Arabidopsis thaliana: one gene and its partners. The protein of the gene in region 1 purifies or fractionates together with the protein of each later gene. This does not show direct contact. Each region holds a gene or a part of one and is shown in the gene's direction. Other genes may lie near its edges. The genes, in order: CESA6, MEF14, CER10 and ATPQ.

The links.
Region 2: the proteins of CESA6 (region 1) and MEF14 purify together in Arabidopsis thaliana (affinity purification with mass spectrometry, with the first as the bait; one large-scale study listed by BioGRID). This does not show direct contact.
Region 3: the proteins of CESA6 (region 1) and CER10 purify together in Arabidopsis thaliana (affinity purification with mass spectrometry, with the first as the bait; one large-scale study listed by BioGRID). This does not show direct contact.
Region 4: the proteins of CESA6 (region 1) and ATPQ purify together in Arabidopsis thaliana (affinity purification with mass spectrometry, with the first as the bait; one large-scale study listed by BioGRID). This does not show direct contact.

What each region holds. Positions count from the first base shown.
Region 1 is NC_003076.8:25,879,106-25,887,045, forward strand, and holds CESA6 (cellulose synthase 6), read left to right. Parts: upstream 1-1,927; 5' UTR 1,928-2,449; coding exon 2,450-2,530; intron 2,531-2,924; coding exon 2,925-3,120; intron 3,121-3,208; coding exon 3,209-3,411; intron 3,412-3,494; coding exon 3,495-3,772; intron 3,773-3,854; coding exon 3,855-4,121; intron 4,122-4,204; coding exon 4,205-4,550; intron 4,551-4,737; coding exon 4,738-4,875; intron 4,876-4,961; coding exon 4,962-5,087; intron 5,088-5,198; coding exon 5,199-5,411; intron 5,412-5,494; coding exon 5,495-5,771; intron 5,772-5,856; coding exon 5,857-6,053; intron 6,054-6,135; coding exon 6,136-6,486; intron 6,487-6,646; coding exon 6,647-7,228; 3' UTR 7,229-7,623; downstream 7,624-7,940. UniProt on the Arabidopsis thaliana protein: Catalytic subunit of cellulose synthase terminal complexes ('rosettes'), required for beta-1,4-glucan microfibril crystallization, a major mechanism of the cell wall formation. Involved in the primary cell wall formation.
Region 2 is NC_003074.8:9,846,626-9,851,059, forward strand, and holds MEF14 (Phosphoglycerate mutase family protein), read left to right. Parts: upstream 1-2,002; 5' UTR 2,003-2,121; coding exon 2,122-2,661; intron 2,662-2,992; coding exon 2,993-3,652; 3' UTR 3,653-3,918; downstream 3,919-4,434. Other genes in the region: AT3G26770 (NAD(P)-binding Rossmann-fold superfamily protein), read left to right, coding at 78-454; AT3G26782 (Tetratricopeptide repeat (TPR)-like superfamily protein), read left to right, coding at 3,969-4,434.
Region 3 is NC_003074.8:20,520,413-20,524,842, reverse strand, and holds CER10 (3-oxo-5-alpha-steroid 4-dehydrogenase family protein), read left to right. Parts: upstream 1-1,744; 5' UTR 1,745-1,986; coding exon 1,987-2,055; intron 2,056-2,239; coding exon 2,240-2,279; intron 2,280-2,741; coding exon 2,742-3,496; intron 3,497-3,588; coding exon 3,589-3,657; 3' UTR 3,658-3,913; downstream 3,914-4,430. Other genes in the region: AT3G55350 (PIF / Ping-Pong family of plant transposase), read right to left, coding at 4,153-4,430.
Region 4 is NC_003074.8:19,394,656-19,398,973, forward strand, and holds ATPQ (ATP synthase D chain), read left to right. Parts: upstream 1-1,768; 5' UTR 1,769-2,033; coding exon 2,034-2,204; intron 2,205-2,626; coding exon 2,627-2,708; intron 2,709-2,996; coding exon 2,997-3,061; coding exon of another isoform or gene 3,062-3,065; intron 3,066-3,164; coding exon 3,165-3,251; intron 3,252-3,362; coding exon 3,363-3,464; 3' UTR 3,465-3,789; downstream 3,790-4,318. Other genes in the region: IQD3 (IQ-domain 3), read left to right, coding at 1-274, 376-591, 742-861, 951-1,541. UniProt on the Arabidopsis thaliana protein: Mitochondrial membrane ATP synthase (F(1)F(0) ATP synthase or Complex V) produces ATP from ADP in the presence of a proton gradient across the membrane which is generated by electron transport complexes of the respiratory chain.

The sequences.
Region 1 (7,940 bases):
CCCAAACATTAATCGGGTCTACGTACATAAAATCTCTAATCACGTTGACCAAGCGCTCCAGCTCGATCTGCTAGTAAAAACAGAAGCAATATATTTTTTATTTTTTTTTATGTACTTAGTTAGTGGTATATATATAGTTGTAAATTGGGTATTTCCAAAGAACCAAAGTAATGTAAACTATACATAAGCGAAAATTTAAACGTTTTTCTATTCTATAGTCTTGAAAATTAAAACAATATTTACTAGGAAAAAGAATAATATAAGGGCACCGACAGTTTCTATAAGAACATGTGGCACGAGGGCTTGGAGAAGACAGTACACAGCATTCAATCAATCATGAAAACGACATTTGATGTGGTAACCTACTAAAGTTCGATCTTTTTTTATGAAAGTTTCTTAATATTTCTTTAATTTCCGGACTATATCTATCAACAAGTCAAAAGATTAAAAAAAATCAACAAGCAAAATACTGTTAAAATATTGTTTTATATATACCACGAACTATTTGTCGGCAAATGTATACATATAGTATAGACATCATACATGGGCAAATCGCATATATTTGTGTGATGTGATACCATAGTCTCAATAATTTGAACATTTTTCTCTTATTTAAGCACGGAGGAAAAATTAGCTATATGGCGACTTGGCGAGTGGAGCCAAGATTAAAAAAAAAAAAAGCATGTTATTTAAAAATATGGTAGACATAACATACAAAAAAATATAGTAAAATAAACAGAACTGATTGAACAAAAGAGAGTGATCAAAGTTGAAAAATAATTTAACTATAAAAACTAAAAAGAAAATTATCAGAGGATGGAGATATTAAACTAATAAAAATGTAATTAAATAAGTAAACTATAAATTAAATAAGTAAAAAATTAAACGTAATTAGAAGGAACAAAAAAAACTAGAAAAGTAAAAACATAAGAGAGGAAGGAGGGAAGCAAAAGTGAAAACCAATGCAGTCAACAGTCAAAAACCATGATACAGTCCATGCGTAGAACATAATTAACTTAAGCAATAAATTTAATAAGTAAAAAATTAAACGTAATTAGAAGGAACAAAAAAAAAGTATATAAAAAATTAGAAGGAACAAAAAAAAAAACTAGAAAATAGGATCTTGGACACGATGCTTACAGATTGTTTTTTGTCTGGGAAGTAAATGCCCATATCTGTTTCTCGACATTTTGAAGTCTCTCTAACAAAATAATTAGAGGAATTAAGAACTTGATTGTGTAACTTTTTTTTTAATCTTAAATTAAGATAATACTATTTCATTACAACTATTATTTTCTTGCACATGTTGCAAGAACGTGAGAGTGTACGCAGACAAATAATTAAAACGAAAATAAAATTATAATGATTATATACAATCTCGGCTATCAATTGATTAATAGAGAAAATTGACTAACCACTCTGAATTGGCTCAAAATGTAGTTATTAATTCAAACCGAGTTTCACTTCATTTATATTATTTTCATTTTTTAACTTTAAAATATATATATTTAATAAACCAAATATGATCTAAACTAAATCTAAAAGGCTCCATCCAAAGTAGATTTGATTTTACTATATATTTAAAACATGTATGGTAGGAAAATTTAACCGAAACCAAATTAAACACATTTTAGGGTGAAGAAAATCACCCAAAAAAAAAAGGTGACTTTTTTTTGTAACAAAACAAAAGACCTAAAGTTTAGAGACAAAATAAAATGTTAGGGTGATTCAATGCATCACATAATACAGTATTGTTAATAATTAATGGCTAATAATAATGTGTGTTTGGAAGTTTTTACTAATCTCTTCTTTACAACAACAAGTGGAGTGGAAGAGAGAGATACACACAAGGTTTAATGGGTCCCACATTCTTTTACTTCTCAAAATTTAATTACTAATTTTATCTAATTTTGGTGCTCTTTTTCCTCATCTACATAATTGCCTTTAATTATCTCACACCATTTAACTAATCACTGATTCTCTTCTTCCTTACGCGTTTGTACTTAACCCCCTTTTATCATCATTTCGCAGGCTTGCGTCTGTCTCTCTCTCTCTCTCCACCATTGACTCTCTCTCTCTCTCTCGCTCTGGAATCATCCTTTATTTCTGTGACTGTGTGCACTTTCAGAGAGGAGAGAGAGGCCCAAAACCAAAAGAAAAGAAAAGGTTGTGGCTTGCAGCTGAATCAATACCATCTCCATATATACAATACACCTTCACTATTCCCCCTTTTGTATTTTTATTATATTTTTCCCATCAAAGTCTGTTTTTTTAGACTCCGGTTTGCCGCTTTGTGTGTGTGTGAGAGAGAGAAAGAGAGCTATCTATCCTCTGATTTATGGTCTCTGGATCTCTGACAATCGAGTTGAGTTAATTACAACACATTCCTCTCTTTCTCAATCGATCTGTGAAATCCAAGATTGTTAGCTGTGTCTGTTTTCAGACAAATATGAACACCGGTGGTCGGTTAATCGCCGGTTCTCACAACAGGAATGAGTTTGTCCTCATTAATGCCGATGAGAATGCCCGAGTATGTTTCTCCTCTTCTTTTGTTTCCAATTCTCTGTCTTTTGATCTGTGTTTCTCTATCTCTGTTCAAAAGTCTCTGACTTTTTTTACTTTTCTTGTGGATCTGGCTCTTACCACTGCAAATCAATTAAGATTTAGGGTTTTTAGTACTAGTATTAAGATTACGTACCCTTGTAGCTAATTTTATCAAGAATTGATTGTGTCGGTGGGATGGATTTTTCCGGATTTGACTTGTCTTAATTCTCCAATTTAAGAGATTTCTTCAATTGCAATTATGAATCTATCAATGTGAAGAGTAATAATTATGTTATTGGGTTACTTTGATCTGGTGTGAGATCCAGTCTGATAGTGTCACTACTATGATCTGATGTATTTAACTCTACTGTTTTGTGCAGATAAGATCAGTCCAAGAGCTGAGTGGACAGACATGTCAAATCTGCAGAGATGAGATCGAATTGACTGTTGATGGAGAACCGTTTGTGGCATGTAACGAATGTGCATTCCCTGTGTGTAGACCTTGCTATGAGTACGAAAGACGAGAAGGCAATCAAGCTTGTCCACAGTGCAAAACCCGTTTCAAACGTCTTAAAGGTTCGTTGTTTGTTAGACCAAATTTCTTTGGTTTTTTGTGAATGTAGAAGATTTTCTGATTTGTTCGGCCTATGTTGTTGTTTGTTAGGAAGTCCAAGAGTTGAAGGTGATGAAGAGGAAGATGACATTGATGATTTAGACAATGAGTTTGAGTATGGAAATAATGGGATTGGATTTGATCAGGTTTCTGAAGGTATGTCAATCTCTCGTCGCAACTCCGGTTTCCCACAATCTGATTTGGATTCAGCTCCACCTGGCTCTCAGATTCCATTGCTGACTTACGGCGACGAGGTAAAAATCTCAGAATGTATCCACATTGTATAACCCATCTTCAGTAATTGGCTCACTCAGATTTCTCTTTTGTTTTATTACAGGACGTTGAGATTTCTTCTGATAGACATGCTCTTATTGTTCCTCCTTCACTTGGTGGTCATGGCAATAGAGTTCATCCTGTTTCTCTTTCTGACCCGACCGTGGCTGCACATCCAAGGCCTATGGTACCTCAGAAAGATCTTGCGGTTTATGGTTATGGAAGTGTCGCTTGGAAAGATCGGATGGAGGAATGGAAGAGAAAGCAGAATGAGAAACTTCAGGTTGTTAGGCATGAAGGAGATCCTGATTTTGAAGATGGTGATGATGCTGATTTTCCAATGTAAGGCAAAGAATATAATTTTTTTTGTTGATGTCTTGTTCCGTTGCAGTGATATTTATCAAGCCTTTTTTTTCCATTTTAGGATGGATGAGGGAAGGCAGCCATTGTCTAGGAAGATACCAATCAAATCGAGCAAGATAAATCCTTACCGGATGTTAATTGTGCTACGTCTTGTGATTCTTGGTCTCTTCTTTCACTACCGTATTCTTCACCCCGTCAAAGATGCATATGCTTTGTGGCTTATTTCTGTTATATGTGAGATATGGTTTGCTGTTTCATGGGTTCTTGATCAGTTCCCTAAATGGTACCCTATCGAGCGAGAAACGTACTTGGACCGACTCTCATTAAGGTACTTACATCTTGTGGGTTATTACACTTGGAAATGTTAAAACTTTGTTTTGGGGATATAATCCTTATTTTTTTTGTTTGCAGATATGAGAAAGAAGGGAAACCGTCGGGACTATCCCCTGTGGATGTATTTGTTAGTACAGTGGATCCATTGAAAGAGCCTCCGCTTATTACTGCAAATACTGTCTTGTCTATTCTTGCTGTTGATTATCCTGTCGATAAGGTTGCTTGTTACGTATCTGATGATGGTGCTGCTATGCTTACTTTCGAAGCTCTTTCTGAGACCGCTGAATTCGCAAGGAAATGGGTTCCTTTCTGCAAGAAATATTGTATTGAGCCTCGTGCTCCCGAATGGTATTTCTGCCATAAAATGGACTACTTGAAGAATAAAGTTCATCCCGCATTTGTTAGGGAGCGGCGAGCCATGAAGGTTACTAGTTCTTACTTTTTTATAAATTTGATTTGATGAGAAAAGTTTTGGTCTAATTGATTCTTGCTTTAGAAAAAAAAAATTCATGAGAAAAGTTATCAATCTTTTGTTATATGGGCTCTTATGAAAGAAGATGGTGGCTTTGAAAATTGATTTGAAAGATTGTGTGTTTTACTGGTTTTGACAGAGAGATTATGAAGAATTCAAAGTAAAGATCAATGCTTTAGTAGCAACAGCACAGAAAGTGCCTGAGGATGGTTGGACTATGCAAGACGGTACACCTTGGCCCGGTAATAGTGTGCGAGATCATCCTGGCATGATTCAGGTGAGTTTCAAATGCTTCTTATTTCTGAAAAGCCTTCTTATGTGTTGTCCTTCAAAATTTAATTATACTTTGTTTTCTTGTTAAAGGTCTTCCTTGGAAGTGACGGTGTTCGTGATGTCGAAAACAACGAGTTGCCTCGATTAGTTTACGTTTCTCGTGAGAAGAGACCCGGATTTGATCACCATAAGAAGGCTGGAGCTATGAATTCCCTGGTAAATGATATACTTTTTAAAGCTCTAAACCTTCTTCTTTGTAAATTACGTCTTGCCATTTATTGAAATGGTTCCTGACTCTTGATTTCATCTACAAAACTTTTGTTGAAGATACGAGTCTCTGGGGTTCTATCAAATGCTCCTTACCTTCTGAATGTCGATTGTGATCACTACATCAACAATAGCAAAGCTCTTAGAGAAGCAATGTGTTTCATGATGGATCCTCAGTCAGGAAAGAAAATCTGTTATGTTCAGTTCCCTCAAAGGTTCGATGGGATTGATAGGCACGATCGATACTCAAATCGCAATGTTGTGTTCTTTGATGTAAGTACAGCCACCACTTTCCTATTGTATCCCTTTTTCTTGAGATTTCTGTAGAATACCAACTAATGAATCTTTATTTACAGATCAATATGAAAGGTTTGGATGGGCTACAAGGGCCTATATACGTCGGTACAGGTTGTGTTTTCAGGAGGCAAGCGCTTTACGGATTTGATGCACCGAAGAAGAAGAAGGGCCCACGTAAGACATGCAATTGCTGGCCAAAATGGTGTCTCCTATGTTTTGGTTCAAGAAAGAATCGTAAAGCAAAGACAGTGGCTGCGGATAAGAAGAAGAAGAATAGGGAAGCGTCAAAGCAGATCCACGCATTAGAAAATATCGAAGAGGGCCGCGTCACTAAAGGTATCATACAAATCCTGTTTGTTGTTAAACTCTTTCGTTAGTCGGTGCATTTTACTAAAAAAATAAAATTTAAAAAACATTCTAGGTTCTAACGTAGAACAGTCAACCGAGGCAATGCAAATGAAGTTGGAGAAGAAATTTGGGCAGTCTCCTGTATTTGTTGCATCTGCGCGTATGGAGAATGGTGGGATGGCTAGAAACGCAAGCCCGGCTTGTCTGCTTAAAGAAGCCATCCAAGTCATTAGTTGCGGATATGAAGATAAAACTGAATGGGGAAAAGAGGTAAGCAGCCGGTTTTAAACCTTTGTTGTGTTTATTCAATCAATTCTTGATTTTGATGATGACCTTGTGAAAAAAATCTCAGATTGGGTGGATCTATGGTTCTGTTACCGAAGATATTCTTACGGGTTTTAAGATGCATTCTCATGGTTGGAGATCTGTTTATTGTACACCAAAGTTAGCGGCTTTCAAAGGATCAGCTCCAATCAATCTTTCGGATCGTCTCCATCAAGTTCTTCGATGGGCGCTTGGGTCGGTTGAGATTTTCTTGAGTAGGCATTGTCCTATTTGGTATGGTTATGGAGGTGGGTTGAAATGGCTTGAGCGGTTGTCCTACATTAACTCTGTGGTTTACCCGTGGACCTCTCTACCGCTCATCGTTTACTGTTCTCTCCCTGCCATCTGTCTTCTCACTGGAAAATTCATCGTTCCCGAGGTAAAACAATCATCTTGAGTTCTCAAAATATGAATCTTTATTTCACGTTTTGTGCTTATTCATTTTCCTTGCCACTGGGGGTTAAAAGTATCATATGAATCTTTATTCCAAGTTGTGTGTTTTAAGACCGGAAAACGATTCTTGTTCCTTCTTTTTCCAGATTAGCAACTATGCGAGTATCCTCTTCATGGCGCTCTTCTCGTCGATTGCAATAACGGGTATTCTCGAGATGCAATGGGGCAAAGTTGGGATCGATGATTGGTGGAGAAACGAACAGTTTTGGGTCATTGGAGGTGTTTCTGCGCATCTGTTTGCTCTCTTCCAAGGTCTCCTCAAGGTTCTTGCTGGTGTCGACACTAACTTCACAGTCACATCAAAAGCAGCTGATGATGGAGAGTTCTCTGACCTTTACCTCTTCAAATGGACTTCACTTCTCATCCCTCCAATGACTCTACTCATCATAAACGTCATTGGAGTCATAGTCGGAGTCTCTGATGCCATCAGCAATGGATACGACTCGTGGGGACCGCTTTTCGGAAGACTGTTCTTTGCACTTTGGGTCATCATTCATCTTTACCCGTTCCTTAAAGGTTTGCTTGGGAAACAAGATAGAATGCCAACCATTATTGTCGTCTGGTCCATCCTCCTGGCCTCGATTCTTACACTTCTTTGGGTCCGGGTTAATCCGTTTGTGGCGAAAGGCGGTCCTATTCTCGAGATCTGTGGTTTAGACTGCTTGTGATTCGATTGACCGGTGGATGGGTTGGTGAAAAAGGTTTAATTCCCACGGATCAAAGAGAGGTAAGAGAGATATTGTTTTACCTCTAAAAGACTCCTTCATTGTGTTCATTAGATGATGAAAAATGAAAAGAAAAAGAAGATTTAATTTTGTTACGAGAATTGTTATTTTTGCAAGAATGTGTTGTAGATATAGAGATGAAGAAGAAAGTTGTTGTCTATTTGTTTTGTTCTTTGGTGGTGAGAGAAAAAAGATTTGTCAAATTATTCTTTAATTGAATATTTCTGATCTCTTTTGAATATTACAGAAGAGCATTTTCAATCTGTAATCTTTTATGATTAAAGAACTTTGATTTATTTTCACTAATTTCCCTATCTTATTTCTTGTTTGAAAAATTAATTTACTCGAGGTTTGATTGGTTTTGATTTTCAATCCGCATGCTTGGAGACGTTTTAAAGCATCCATTAAAAATGTTACCAAACCTTAGAAAATTACGAACTTGATCAGAGTGGCCCAAAACAAATTATACAGGCCCAATACAGGCCCGAATCTACACAGCCTTTTACACTTTTATTGGTTCTGTTTTGACAAGTGACATGGTGCTTTCATCATATCTGCAGAGGGCAGCACTCAGATTGGTTAGTCTTTTTGGTTAGAGAATTTTGAAAACTTTTTTGTTTCTCATTTGTAAGTGTCACTACGCAAAGTAATTTAA
Region 2 (4,434 bases), on another chromosome or scaffold:
ACTTAAATGAAGCTTAATAGTTTTCAATTTGTGGTCAACACTCAAATTTGACTTTTGGTATGGACAAAACAATGTAGGCGTGACTGGAGGGTTGGCTCCACATTCATACACAATCTCAAAGTTCACAACTCCCGGAATAGTCAAGTCGGCAGCAAGCGAGCTCTGCGAACACGGCGTGCGTATAAACTGTATCTCACCGGGTACGGTGGCTACACCGCTCACTCTCAGTTACCTTCAGAAAGTGTTTCCGAAGGTATCGGAGGAGAAGCTACGCGAAACAGTGAAAGGAATGGGTGAGTTAAAAGGAGCTGAGTGTGAAGAAGCTGACGTGGCTAAGGCTGCTTTGTATTTGGCTTCCAACGACGGTAAATACGTTACTGGCCATAACTTGGTCGTGGATGGTGGCATGACTGCTTTCAAAATAGCTGGTTTTCCTTTTCCTTCGGATTCATGATCAATCATTTTGTATCGTCTATAAATAACTTTGTACTGTATTCAAGATTTTATATCAAAGTTGGATCTTAAAACATTTAATAAATTTTCAAAGCAACCAACTAAATATAAAAGTTTCTATAGTAAGAGTTAACTTTGATAACATATGACTTTCATTTGAATACAAGCTGGCATGAACTTGAAGCTTTGATCACAGTTTCCAACTCCTCGACCATCTCAACTCTCTCTTTCGAGGTAAGGCGTTTTGTGAGGAAAGTTGCTTTATCCAAACGACTTGCGTTACTAAGGATATATTTCGTCACCTCTTTTTCATCTTCTCGCCATTCGTAGTCTTCCCATACAAATGTCTCCAGATGGAGTAACATACATTTAGGAATATTCTTTGGCTGAATCCATTTCCACAAGGGTACGCCATCTAAACTTTTCTGCCATGGCTGTGGTTATGAGATCAATGGCGAGTTAACACAAAGTAAATTACATGTATATTAGATCATCAAACCCTAAGTTGAGGTGGAAATTTGCTAAAAGATGAATTTTCAATGCTTACACCGATGAGCTTGAGGACTTGTAAATTAGGAGAATGATCGAGCATGAGCATTAGTAGATTCCAACAATCAGCTCTATATATACACAGCTCCAAATATACCAACTGATAAAATATAGGAAATGGAATCTATACATGAAGGCAATATTATTAGTAGAGTAACAATGCAATAATAAGGAAACTAACTAATTACAAGAAAACCTTACCTTCAAGGCTGATATCTCCAAGGAGAGACGTTTGACTGAAGTCAGTGATCTCAAGATGAAACTTTTATTATTGTTGACAATATTTGCCTCCAACAGCATAGGTGCATTCTCAATAAGACAAGATCCACGACCACCAATCCATATACTTCAAGTATTTTAAAGAAGGAGCATTTATCACAAAGCCCACATGTTCTTTATCATTTCTATTACAAATCGATAGTCTTTGTAAGGAAGGAACTGCAATAGTTAAAGGCTTCACATTGGAGTATAGAGTTCCATGCACATCCAAGTTTTCAAGATTAGGACAACCAGATAAAAGGTTAAGAACTGATGTATTGTTTATGAAGTTCACATAGTGAAGGTGCAGAGTTCTAAGAGATTTCAGACAAACTGAAGAAGGGACAACCATACGAACCAAAAACTTGACTTCCAAGGTATCTAGTGTTTCACAATTGCACAAGCTTTCAGGAAATATGAACCGTCCTCTAGGTGCAATCTGATCCAGTATGAAAATTAATGGAAGATATCTAAAGTTATTTAATCCAAATCTATTTTTCTAAATAATTTTGATAATATATATATATATATATGTATCTATTTTTATTAATAGTTTTTATTTTACAATTTAATTTAATAAGTTTATGCAATTATTTTTGTATTTTTGTTTAGCTACATTGGTGGATATAGCGGCGTTGGTGAATAAAATTCCAGCGTATACAAGGCCAGACGTTTTATCCTATAACGGGCCGGGCCCAATATTTAAACCTTCTAGCTCACACAGAGGTCAAAGTTTTTGCTCTCGTCTCTAGATCTGTAGAAGTAGAATGGTGGAGCCATCGAGCCATGTGATGTGATCGAAACAAAAAGCTCTTTGCTTCTTCTTCGTCCATTTCTCGTAGCACACTTTTCACAAAGAAGATGGGTTCTTCACAATCTACGCAAATGGAAGACGAAGAAGAAGAAGAAGAGGAAACTGACAATGAAGAAGAAGAAGAAGAAGATAATGGCAGATCAAACACAAGACAATTAGACAATCTCCTAGTAAAGAAAGTTCTAGAACAAGAGCCTGAGATGTTACCATGTCACGCTTCAGCTTCACCACTCTCACCACAACTATCATCTCTCGGTACTCCAAGGCTTGGACCATCGATTAAAGTCTGGGATCCTTACAACGTCCTCTCTCCGCCGCCGCAACCGCCGTCTATCTTCTCTCGAATCGTGTCTGGTGATGAAGATCGAGCTGTGACAGAGGTTTATCTGATTAGCCATGGTGAGTCTGATCTTAATCTTAAACCTGATTTGATTGGTGGGAGATGTCATGTAGCTGCTCTTACTGCTAATGGTAAACGTCAAGCTAGGGCTCTTGCTGTTTTCTTCAAATCTCAAGGTGTTCGGTTTAATTCGGTTTATTCGTCACCTCTAGATCGAGCTAGATCCATGGCTGTTTCTGTTTGTCAGGTAAAGTTTCTTCTCTTAGATCTAAGGTTTAACGAAGTGTACAATGTTGCCTAATTTGTGTGAGATTGATCTGTGGTAATATCTTGGGAATGAATTAAGTAAGAGTTGATTGATCTAATGAATCCATTGAAACCACTAAGTACTGTTGTTACTGCTCTTTGTGTGAGCTTATCTTGTTCATGGTTGATTAAGGAGTTTCTTAGTCTTCTATAACTATAGCTTAGGCACAATCTAAAGAGTATATATCTTAGGATCATACATCAATGTATCATTTAGTGAAAGAAATGAGATTGAAAGTGGTTATTGAATTGGACACATTTTGTTTTTAAAGGAAATGAGTTTTCCGGAGGAGCATGTACAATCTTCGGATGCTGTTATTGAGATGAGTTTAGGGGATTGGGAAGGCTGTAATCAAGCAGAGATTTATAGTCCTGAAACTTTGAGTTTGATTGAAAGGTGCCAACCTGATTTCACAGCTCCATCTGGAGAATCACTGAGGCAAGTAGAGTTTCGAATGGTTCAGTTTCTAAACGGGACAGTCTCAGGAGTTGCAGAGAAGCTTAGGTCAGATTATTCTTCCACTACGAATCACAATGAAACTCATGAGCGTGATGGTGGTGTGTCACTTGCTTCGACTAACTGGGACTTACTACACAAGCATCGTCCCAGTCTTACAAGGAAGAAATCTGGTAAAAGCAGGCTTCAAGTGATGACTAATCACGAACCTGACGATGGAAACTCCCCAAGGGAAGAAGTTAATCATAATCACACTGACCTAAGTGATTCGTCTTCCTTAATCTCGAATTGTGTCGGGGTTTTCACGCATTCTTTGCCTATAAAGTGTCTTTTAACCGGAATCCTCGGTTGCAGTCCGGTAATGACTCATAAGATCTGTGTAGAAGACTCTTCAGTGACTGTGTTACAACATTCATGGAGAAACGGGTGGCAGATCAAACGAATGAATGATACTGCTCATCTTAGATTGTTGTAACTTTATTTACCGATAAATTATTTGGAAAAACGAGGATTCATATATGTTTACACCATGAATCTGCAGAAGCTCAAGAACAAAGGTTCTGCAGATAATGAAATGCCACGGCCTCTTTGTAATGTTTTGTTTGTGACATGAGGAAAAAAGATAAACAAAATGGATTCATTGATTTTGATTTGATATTTGTTCTTGTCTGATACTATTTGAGTGTGAAATTAGAGATTTTTTTGTTTGCAAATTTCTTTTCCTATGTTTGATTATAAGTACTTATAATCAAATTAGTCGAAATATTACTTTGAGACAAAAGAATGAATGAATGAAGGTTCGGAGTAAAAAAGCACTGTTTTGTTCCGTCTCTCGTCTTCTCCACACGGAGAGACACACAGAGAGACAAAACCTAACAACGCTGTTCAACAGATATGTCGACAAAACAGATGTTTTCTCATGGAACTCTGTCATCGCCGACCTCGCTCGTAGCGGTGATTCTGCTGAAGCTCTTCTCGCTTTTTCCTCAATGCGGAAGCTTTCTCTATACCCAACTCGCTCTAGCTTTCCTTGCGCCATTAAAGCATGTTCGTCTCTTTTTGATATCTTCTCCGGCAAACAGACCCATCAGCAAGCTTTTGTCTTCGGTTATCAATCCGACATCTTTGTGTCTTCGGCTTTGATCGTTATGTATTCAACTTGTGGGAAACTGGAGGATGCACGGAAAGTGTTCGACGAAATTCCCAAGAGAAATATTGTATCTTGGACTTCGATGATTCGAGGGTATGATCTTAACG
Region 3 (4,430 bases), on another chromosome or scaffold:
CTTCTTCTAGGGGTGAATAGACGAGGACACACGATACAGTTTGTCATGTTAATCTTTCAAGCTCAAAAAATATAAAAATTGTATGAAAATCTGATACGGTAAATCTATATATTCTTTTGCATGTTTTTAAAGGAGCACTTATCTTTATTTGTTATAGAAATTTATTATTTAAAAGAAATTCGTCTTTATAGAAATGTGCATGTGTTTTTTTTATTAGTAACACATTTTCATGCAACAGGAATCTTCGCTTATCTGTAGTGTACATCTCATGAGCCCATATTCATAGTTGTAAAGCAACACCTTCTCTGCAGCTTTTTCTTTCCTATTGTTTTTTGTATCCATAGTTCACATCTACACACTATATAAGGCTATTACAAACAATGATACAATATATGTTCTCATATAATTTGATCTTAATTTTCAAGATATTTAAGGTGGGAAAATATCGAGATAGTATACAATGGAAATCGTTACCACGTGCATGCCAATCTTTAGTAGAAGAAGATTCCTAGATTCCAACAAGAACATGCGCATTTTTTCACGAAAGGCTGGAAAGTTTAATATATAATGGTCGAAAAAATAGGCATAATCTATTTAAGTACTAGCTTAAGTGTTTTACGCTAGATCTGGTGTTGACACTTGTACACCTGGTTTTAAAGTTGCAGAGAAAACTAGATTAATGCTCAAATTGTAGTAAGTAGATTGGATAATTTACACTCGGAAAAAACAAGTTTTTTCAGAAGAATTAGACTGTTGCTCACTTGAGAAAAATCTAGCTAGCTTTGTTAATTGAGGATAGTTAGTTATAGTATTTGAATGACATTAAGGTGTTTGAATATCGCATGAATTGTCGCCTTGGTATTTGGGCAATTACCGGTCATTATTTTGATCTTTGTGATGTCAACTAATCGATCCCAACCATATATATCATAAACTACTGTCTCTTAATTGATCCATTGTGTTTTTAATTTTATCATTACTTTTTTTAACTAGTTGAGAGAATGATTATCTAACCCCTTTCATATTCAGAAAACTTAGGTTTTGAGTTTTTGCTTTATTTGCTGCTCTCTTGAATTAATAGAGCTCTCGTATGCGATTGACTTTGGGTGATTTTTTTTTGTTGGAAAAGCAAATTTCATTGACCAATATAACTAAACTAACACACTACTTCCATGTGGTTAAGGGCCGGGATCATTTATTATTTGCATCTTTTATACGACAATGACAAGGATTCGTTCTCATTACTCCATCCCATTTTGTGGTATGTAAAATCCTAACTTTTTTACTGCATTGATACAACATTTTATTTTAGCATTAGATCAATACGATGGACATATGTCATCAAGTGAGGGGGTAGAAGTTTGCAACTAATGTTTTTGTGCTCATGAATCAATCTCTTCTAGGTAACATTATTTCACTCTTTTCTATAGCGAATACTGCAATGCTTTTACGTTTTAACTAAACATGACTAAACCAAATACCAAAAAAAAAACGAGTAACACTTTGGTGGTTCCTATCTAAGTTGACCGGATCACTCGATTTGATAAAAAAAATTATAGTAAAAGTTTTTGTTTTTGAATACAAATTATATATTTGACTAAAATTCGAAACTTAACCGAAACTAAAACCTTAGCAGATAATCTATAGTATAGTAGATTCATAAACCGAAAAAACAAAAATCTAAACCTAAACTGAGTAATTACTAATGGTGGATCCTTAAAACAAAGCCATAATTTGCAATTGCAACAAATGTTTTTGTTTGGAGTAAAAACCAAAAAAAAAATGATGGGGAGCAACTAAAAATGTAAAATGGTCCCAATCTAATCGCATAAGTTGGGAAGATAGTTAGTAGTTCTCCTACTCCCAACTACATCCTCTTCAATGCTCAATCTCGTCTTCTTCTTCCTCTCTATTTAATTTCCCTTGTCTCTCTATCTCTCTCAATTTCCTCATCTGGGTCTTCCTCGTTTGCTCCGCTTAAGCACCATGAAGGTCACCGTCGTCTCCCGCAGCGGCAGAGAAGTCCTCAAAGCTCCCCTTGACCTCCCCGATTCGGTACTTTCTCGTTTCTTATGATACTCTCTTCTCCGATCTGCTTCTTCTTCTGATTCGTGGGTTTGTTTCCAAAATGTGATTGAAGGTTTTTGTTCTTTAGTTTGGTCCCTCAATGTAGGGAAAGTTGCATGCTTTATGATTTTTGGGTTGTTGATTTCGATTTCGTGTGTTTTGTGCTTCGCAGGCGACTGTTGCTGATCTGCAAGAAGCGTTTCATAAGAGAGGTAAAGTTTCCAAAGTTTTCATTTTTACTTGAAATTTGACTTGTCGAATGTTGGTATAGATCTCACCTGAGTGTGTAAGCTTAAGCTAGTGTTTATGTGTTTGAGTTCTCCTTATACCATTTGATGCTTATGGGGTTATATAATCAAGATCTGTGTGGAAGCTTAAGGAGTATTTAGATTTGATAATGTTTTCTGCTGATAAGGATCACTTAAGCTTCTAAACACAGTTTTGGATTTGAATTAATCATCACAACCTTTTGTCATTTATGGATCAGTCCCTTTTTAGCTTTAATAAAGGTTCACTTTAGATTGTCCATCAATGGCAATTATCTGAAATCATCTTACTATACAGTACAATGTATATTCTGTATGTATTATATTTATCTCGTTCATTCAAATCTTAGTTTGATTTTCTCTCAGTAGGTATTAAACTGTTTGATTTGGGTTTTGTTGTTTCAACAGCTAAGAAGTTTTACCCGTCGAGGCAAAGACTGACTCTTCCCGTGACTCCTGGATCGAAGGACAAACCTGTTGTCCTCAATAGCAAGAAATCACTGAAGGAGTACTGTGATGGAAACAACAACTCCTTAACTGTAGTCTTCAAAGACCTGGGGGCACAAGTTTCCTACCGCACACTCTTCTTCTTCGAGTATCTTGGCCCTCTCCTTATCTACCCTGTCTTTTACTACTTCCCTGTTTACAAGTTTCTTGGTTATGGAGAGGACTGTGTGATCCATCCGGTCCAGACGTACGCTATGTACTACTGGTGCTTTCACTACTTCAAACGGATCTTAGAAACGTTTTTCGTACATCGGTTCAGCCACGCAACCTCCCCAATCGGGAATGTGTTCAGGAACTGTGCTTATTACTGGAGCTTTGGTGCTTACATTGCTTATTACGTCAACCATCCCTTGTACACTCCAGTTAGTGACCTTCAGATGAAGATTGGTTTCGGGTTTGGTTTGGTTTGCCAAGTCGCAAACTTTTACTGTCACATATTGCTGAAGAATCTGAGGGACCCCAGTGGGGCTGGAGGCTACCAGATTCCACGCGGTTTCCTCTTCAACATTGTTACATGTGCCAATTACACTACCGAGATTTACCAATGGCTAGGATTCAACATCGCTACTCAGACCATTGCAGGATATGTTTTCCTCGCTGTTGCTGCTCTAATCATGACTAATTGGGCTCTTGGAAAGCACAGCCGTCTGAGAAAGGTAAACATAGCGGTCTCACGATATGATTTTAGCGGAACTGAAAATTCTCAAATAATGTTCTTATTGTGGATTGTTTGATATTGGTATTGCAGATATTTGATGGAAAAGATGGAAAGCCAAAGTATCCAAGAAGATGGGTGATACTTCCTCCATTCCTTTAGAAGCCATTGTTGCTTATCAGTAAAAGCTCTTAATAAAGCTGAAAATGAGACTTTCTTTGGGTTCTCTGTATCGTTTCCTTTTTTGTTCGGTCTATGTATTGGTTATAACATGTTTATTCCTTTTGTTTCAATATGTTTTGATTTTTGAAGTTAGAGAGATTTAGAAATGTACTTGTGTAGTTGTTTCTCACGCAAACCAATTCCTCTTTATGTATCGCATACATGAGTCAATAATAAATATGATTACTAGTAACATAAATCAGTCTATGCGGCATTCTATAATGACAATTGCAATGAGTTTAGACGTCGATGAAACATACAAGTTGTATAAATTAAAAATAACATTCATAAGATACACATTTTTGTTTGTCCCATAAAAGAATATGTCAATAGATCAAATCAAACGATAAAATGTTATGCTAAACAAAATTACCAGAAGGAAAAAGAAGCAAATGAAGCTTTCATAGAAAGACCACAAGAACCGGGAGAGAGTAATCAAGCTGATGAATTTTTTCCACACAGTTGGTCAGAGAGTTCATCTCTCAAGACCGATGAAGCCTCATCGGCAAGCTTGCAGCTTCGTTGTCTGTAGTTCATGTCATGTTGCTGAGACAAAGGTTGGTCATCCAAAGTTTGATCCTCCATATCGATAATAATGTTGTGCAGCAAGCAACAGACAAAGATTATCCTTGGTAACCGGTTTCTATCAGGCATCCACATTACCCCGTTTATTATCCTCCACCTGTCTTTAAGCTTCGATAGTGCCATCTGCG
Region 4 (4,318 bases), on another chromosome or scaffold:
GTTTGGTAAATCCAAGAAGCTAGATGTTACTAATTCTGGTGCAGCATATTCTCCTCGTACTGTCAAAGACGCGAAACTAAAGGAGATTGAGGAGCAACAGAGCAGACATGCTTACTCTGTGGCTATTGCAACTGCTGCAGCTGCAGAGGCAGCCGTTGCAGCTGCTCAAGCTGCTGCTGAAGTTGTTCGTCTCTCTGCATTATCACGGTTCCCCGGGAAATCAATGGAAGAGATCGCCGCTATCAAGATTCAGACAGCATTTAGAGGATATATGGTAACGTTTTTGTTTTTTAACATTTTCAAGTCTAGTAACTATAAAGGTGGTTTTGCTAACTAATGGAACAAAGTTCATACTTTTTGGTTACCCTTTATTAGGCAAGAAGAGCATTGCGTGCGTTGAGAGGTCTTGTGAGGCTAAAATCTTTAGTCCAGGGGAAATGTGTGAGACGTCAAGCCACATCTACATTGCAAAGCATGCAAACACTAGCTAGAGTACAATATCAGATTCGTGAGAGAAGGCTCCGATTGTCTGAGGATAAACAGGCTTTAACACGACAGCTCCAACAAAAACACAATAAAGACTTTGATAAGGTAAGCAAATCAAATCCTTACAAAGATGTTTATAATTTTAGTTACAAACTTGGCTTTTTGTTGATCTCGGATACATGAGAAATTCACAATGTGAAATAGATTATGTTTCTTGCTACAAACTTAAAGATTGTATTACGTTTTGTGAAATAGACTGGAGAAAATTGGAATGATAGTACATTGTCGCGGGAGAAAGTTGAAGCAAACATGTTGAACAAGCAAGTAGCAACAATGAGAAGAGAAAAAGCGCTTGCATATGCATTCAGTCACCAGGTATTAAACTAGTTTCCTATCTTACTTTAGTGTGTCTTTACACCAGAAGAATTATATATCTCAAAATGGTGAAACTTGTTAATATGCAGAATACATGGAAAAACTCAACTAAAATGGGTTCTCAAACATTCATGGACCCTAACAATCCGCATTGGGGTTGGAGTTGGCTAGAACGTTGGATGGCTGCTCGACCAAACGAAAACCACTCACTCACACCAGATAATGCTGAAAAAGACTCTTCTGCTAGGAGTGTAGCAAGCCGTGCCATGTCTGAGATGATTCCACGAGGCAAAAACCTTTCACCAAGAGGAAAGACACCAAACAGTCGAAGAGGGTCAAGCCCGAGAGTGAGGCAAGTCCCAAGTGAAGACTCAAACAGCATTGTGAGTTTCCAATCAGAACAACCTTGCAATCGTAGGCATAGCACTTGTGGATCAATTCCATCAACTAGAGACGATGAAAGCTTCACCAGTAGTTTCTCTCAGTCAGTTCCAGGCTACATGGCACCTACACAAGCCGCCAAAGCAAGAGCTCGATTCTCAAACCTTAGTCCTCTAAGCTCAGAGAAGACAGCGAAAAAACGGCTTTCCTTCTCGGGATCTCCTAAGACTGTAAGACGGTTTTCAGGTCCACCAAAGCTGGAAAGCAATGTTACTAAGAAAGATACTAATCTTGCTTAAACAGAGAATGGATATATATATATAGTTTATATCTGACATTGTTGATTAGGCAAAAGTCTGGTGCAGAGGTGAATTCAGAGAAGATTCTGTTATGTCTTTGTTTGTTTTTTTGGTATTTTTTTTTACTACAACAAACTTAATTATTTGTTTGACTTTTTTAATTGGTTGAACATATTTGTATTGATGAAGAGACATATATAATTTTCCACATGCTATCTGAGTTCCTTCTTTAACATATTTGCTAACGCCAAAGTAATCTAAAACATAGAACCAGTATTGAAACTTAATGGGGGTGTTTTTTAGGTCAATTAAATAATAAAGGGGTTAAATTAGAAATAAAGAGAAGTAAAAGGGCCTGTAAGCCTTTTAGGGATTCTAGGGCTTTCCTTCATTGGTCAGATCAGACGACGTTTTACATCTTCTTCTTCTTCCTCTTCGATATTCGTCAGTGTGTGTATTTTGGGGAAAACTTTGTGAGCAAAGAGCGAGAAAATGAGCGGAGCCGGTAAGAAAATCGCGGATGTGGCTTTCAAAGCTTCAAGGACTATCGATTGGGATGGTATGGCTAAGGTCCTTGTCACAGATGAGGCTCGTAGAGAGTTCTCTAACCTTCGTCGTGCTTTCGATGAGGTTAACACACAGCTCCAGACCAAATTTAGTCAGGTTCTCCTCTCGATTTCCCCCCTCTCTTGATCTGATTTTGTCACTACTGCTTGGTTTAGACTTTTTAGATCTTTATAATTTCGATTTCTGGATCAGGTGCTTCTTTCACGAATTTTTACGATTATCAGATTTTTGTTGGTGACACTCATTTTTTTCTATTTTGTTGATGTTGTTGTTCCCATTGTTGATTGATCCAGATATGTGTTAAGATCTATTTCCTTAAGACGTGTTAATCAGAGAACATTGTGGTTGGTCTTTGTTTATTGATCATTAGAAATGTGGAATTGTATCGAGAAAAACATTGATGTATACTATGATTAGCCCACTACATTTCCAATTCCTAAGAGATCTTTTATTTCCTAACTTGTTTTATGTATTGGGTTGTGGAGTGATTGTTGTTTTTGGTTATCCTTTTAATCCAGGAACCTGAACCTATAGATTGGGATTACTATAGGAAGGGTATTGGAGCTGGCATTGTTGACAAGTACAAGGAAGCTTATGACAGTAAGTTTTATTTTCTCTGCAATTTATACTGATACTTGGGAGCGTTTGTGTAGCCTTGCAACTCATTATCACAATGAGTTTGTCAGTGGTTATCAAGCGGATGTCTTTTGCTTGCCTTACTTCGGCTCTCAAACCTGACTATATTGTTTTGAGAGAGATGTGCTTAAGAATGGGGGCTGAAACTGAAGTTCTTATACTTGTTATATATCTATTTGATTGTTGGAATTGTGGAGATATATCAAAGAAGATTATGAGAAACTAAACTGCATCTTTTATGGCTTGCTGCAGGCATTGAGATTCCAAAGTACGTTGACAAAGTTACTCCTGAATACAAGCCAAAGTTTGATGCTTTGGTGAGTAATAGCTGAGACACTCGAGACTTTTTTACAATTTTGACAGGTCTTTTCAATTGACATCGTTTTTGTTCTCTTGTGCCATGTTTCATGCTATATCTAGTTGGTGGAACTGAAAGAAGCAGAACAGAAATCGCTCAAGGAGTCTGAACGGTTGGAGAAAGAAATTGCTGATGTCCAAGAGATCAGCGTAAGTAGCCAGAAAAAACAAATCCTCTTCTATGAAGTTTGTGTGTATTTTTTTTCAACTCAAGATTCTGATAAAATGATCATGGTTGTTTCTATGTGTTGGTGTAATCAGAAAAAGCTCAGCACCATGACTGCAGATGAGTACTTTGAGAAGCACCCGGAACTCAAAAAGAAGTTTGATGACGAAATCCGTAATGACAACTGGGGATACTGATCATGTTTCTCCATCTCCGGCTTGGAAAGAAAACTCTCTTTCTCTTTCTCTGTTCTCTTACTGTGATTTTGTGAGCCAATCATAACAATAATAAGTACACCATTCACTTAAGCAGTGTTGAGATCTTCATTCCAAGGAAGATAAACGCATTTGGTTTTAGTTATCAATTTCACAAATTGTTTCGTTTCGTTCTTCAGTGAATAATAAGAGTCAAAAAAATTATCATTGTCAAGGAATGAAGAAGACTCTTGACTCGTCATTGTTACATTTCCTCTCTTAGCTAACAGGATAGTATTAATGTCATGTTTTTAGTTGATTTTTTTGAGTTAGCAATTCGGTGCAATGGTAAATAAAGACGAACCCAAACCAACTCTGGTAAGCAAATTTGGTTGATAAGTCTGTCGGTTTGTTGTTAAGCCTTCGGTTTACCTCGAACCGGGTTTTAGAATTTTTGTCGACCCAGAAACACATATCCCAGATTTCGTTCTTCAAGACACAATGCTAATTTCTGCAATTACACTCAAGTGGTGAGCTTATTACTTGATGGAGCCTTGCGCAACCATAGATAGTTCACGAAATGGTATGCGGTTAATGGTTATCAAAGGTGGGTGAGGTCTTTGATTCTGACCGTTCATAGAGGGTTAATATAATCGATTGCTATTTTTGATTTTTGCCGTTAAGTCTCTCTGTAAGGTCCAGTGCATGTTACTGCTTGTCTAATTACACGAAACAAATACTGGTTAGCTATGTGCTTAGAGCAGAATGCTTAATAACAAGTAGAAAGACAAATCTTTATTGGTCTAAAAGAATCAAGATCCACGTGCTCTCCTCCTACCCTCTTCTTTGTACCGAAA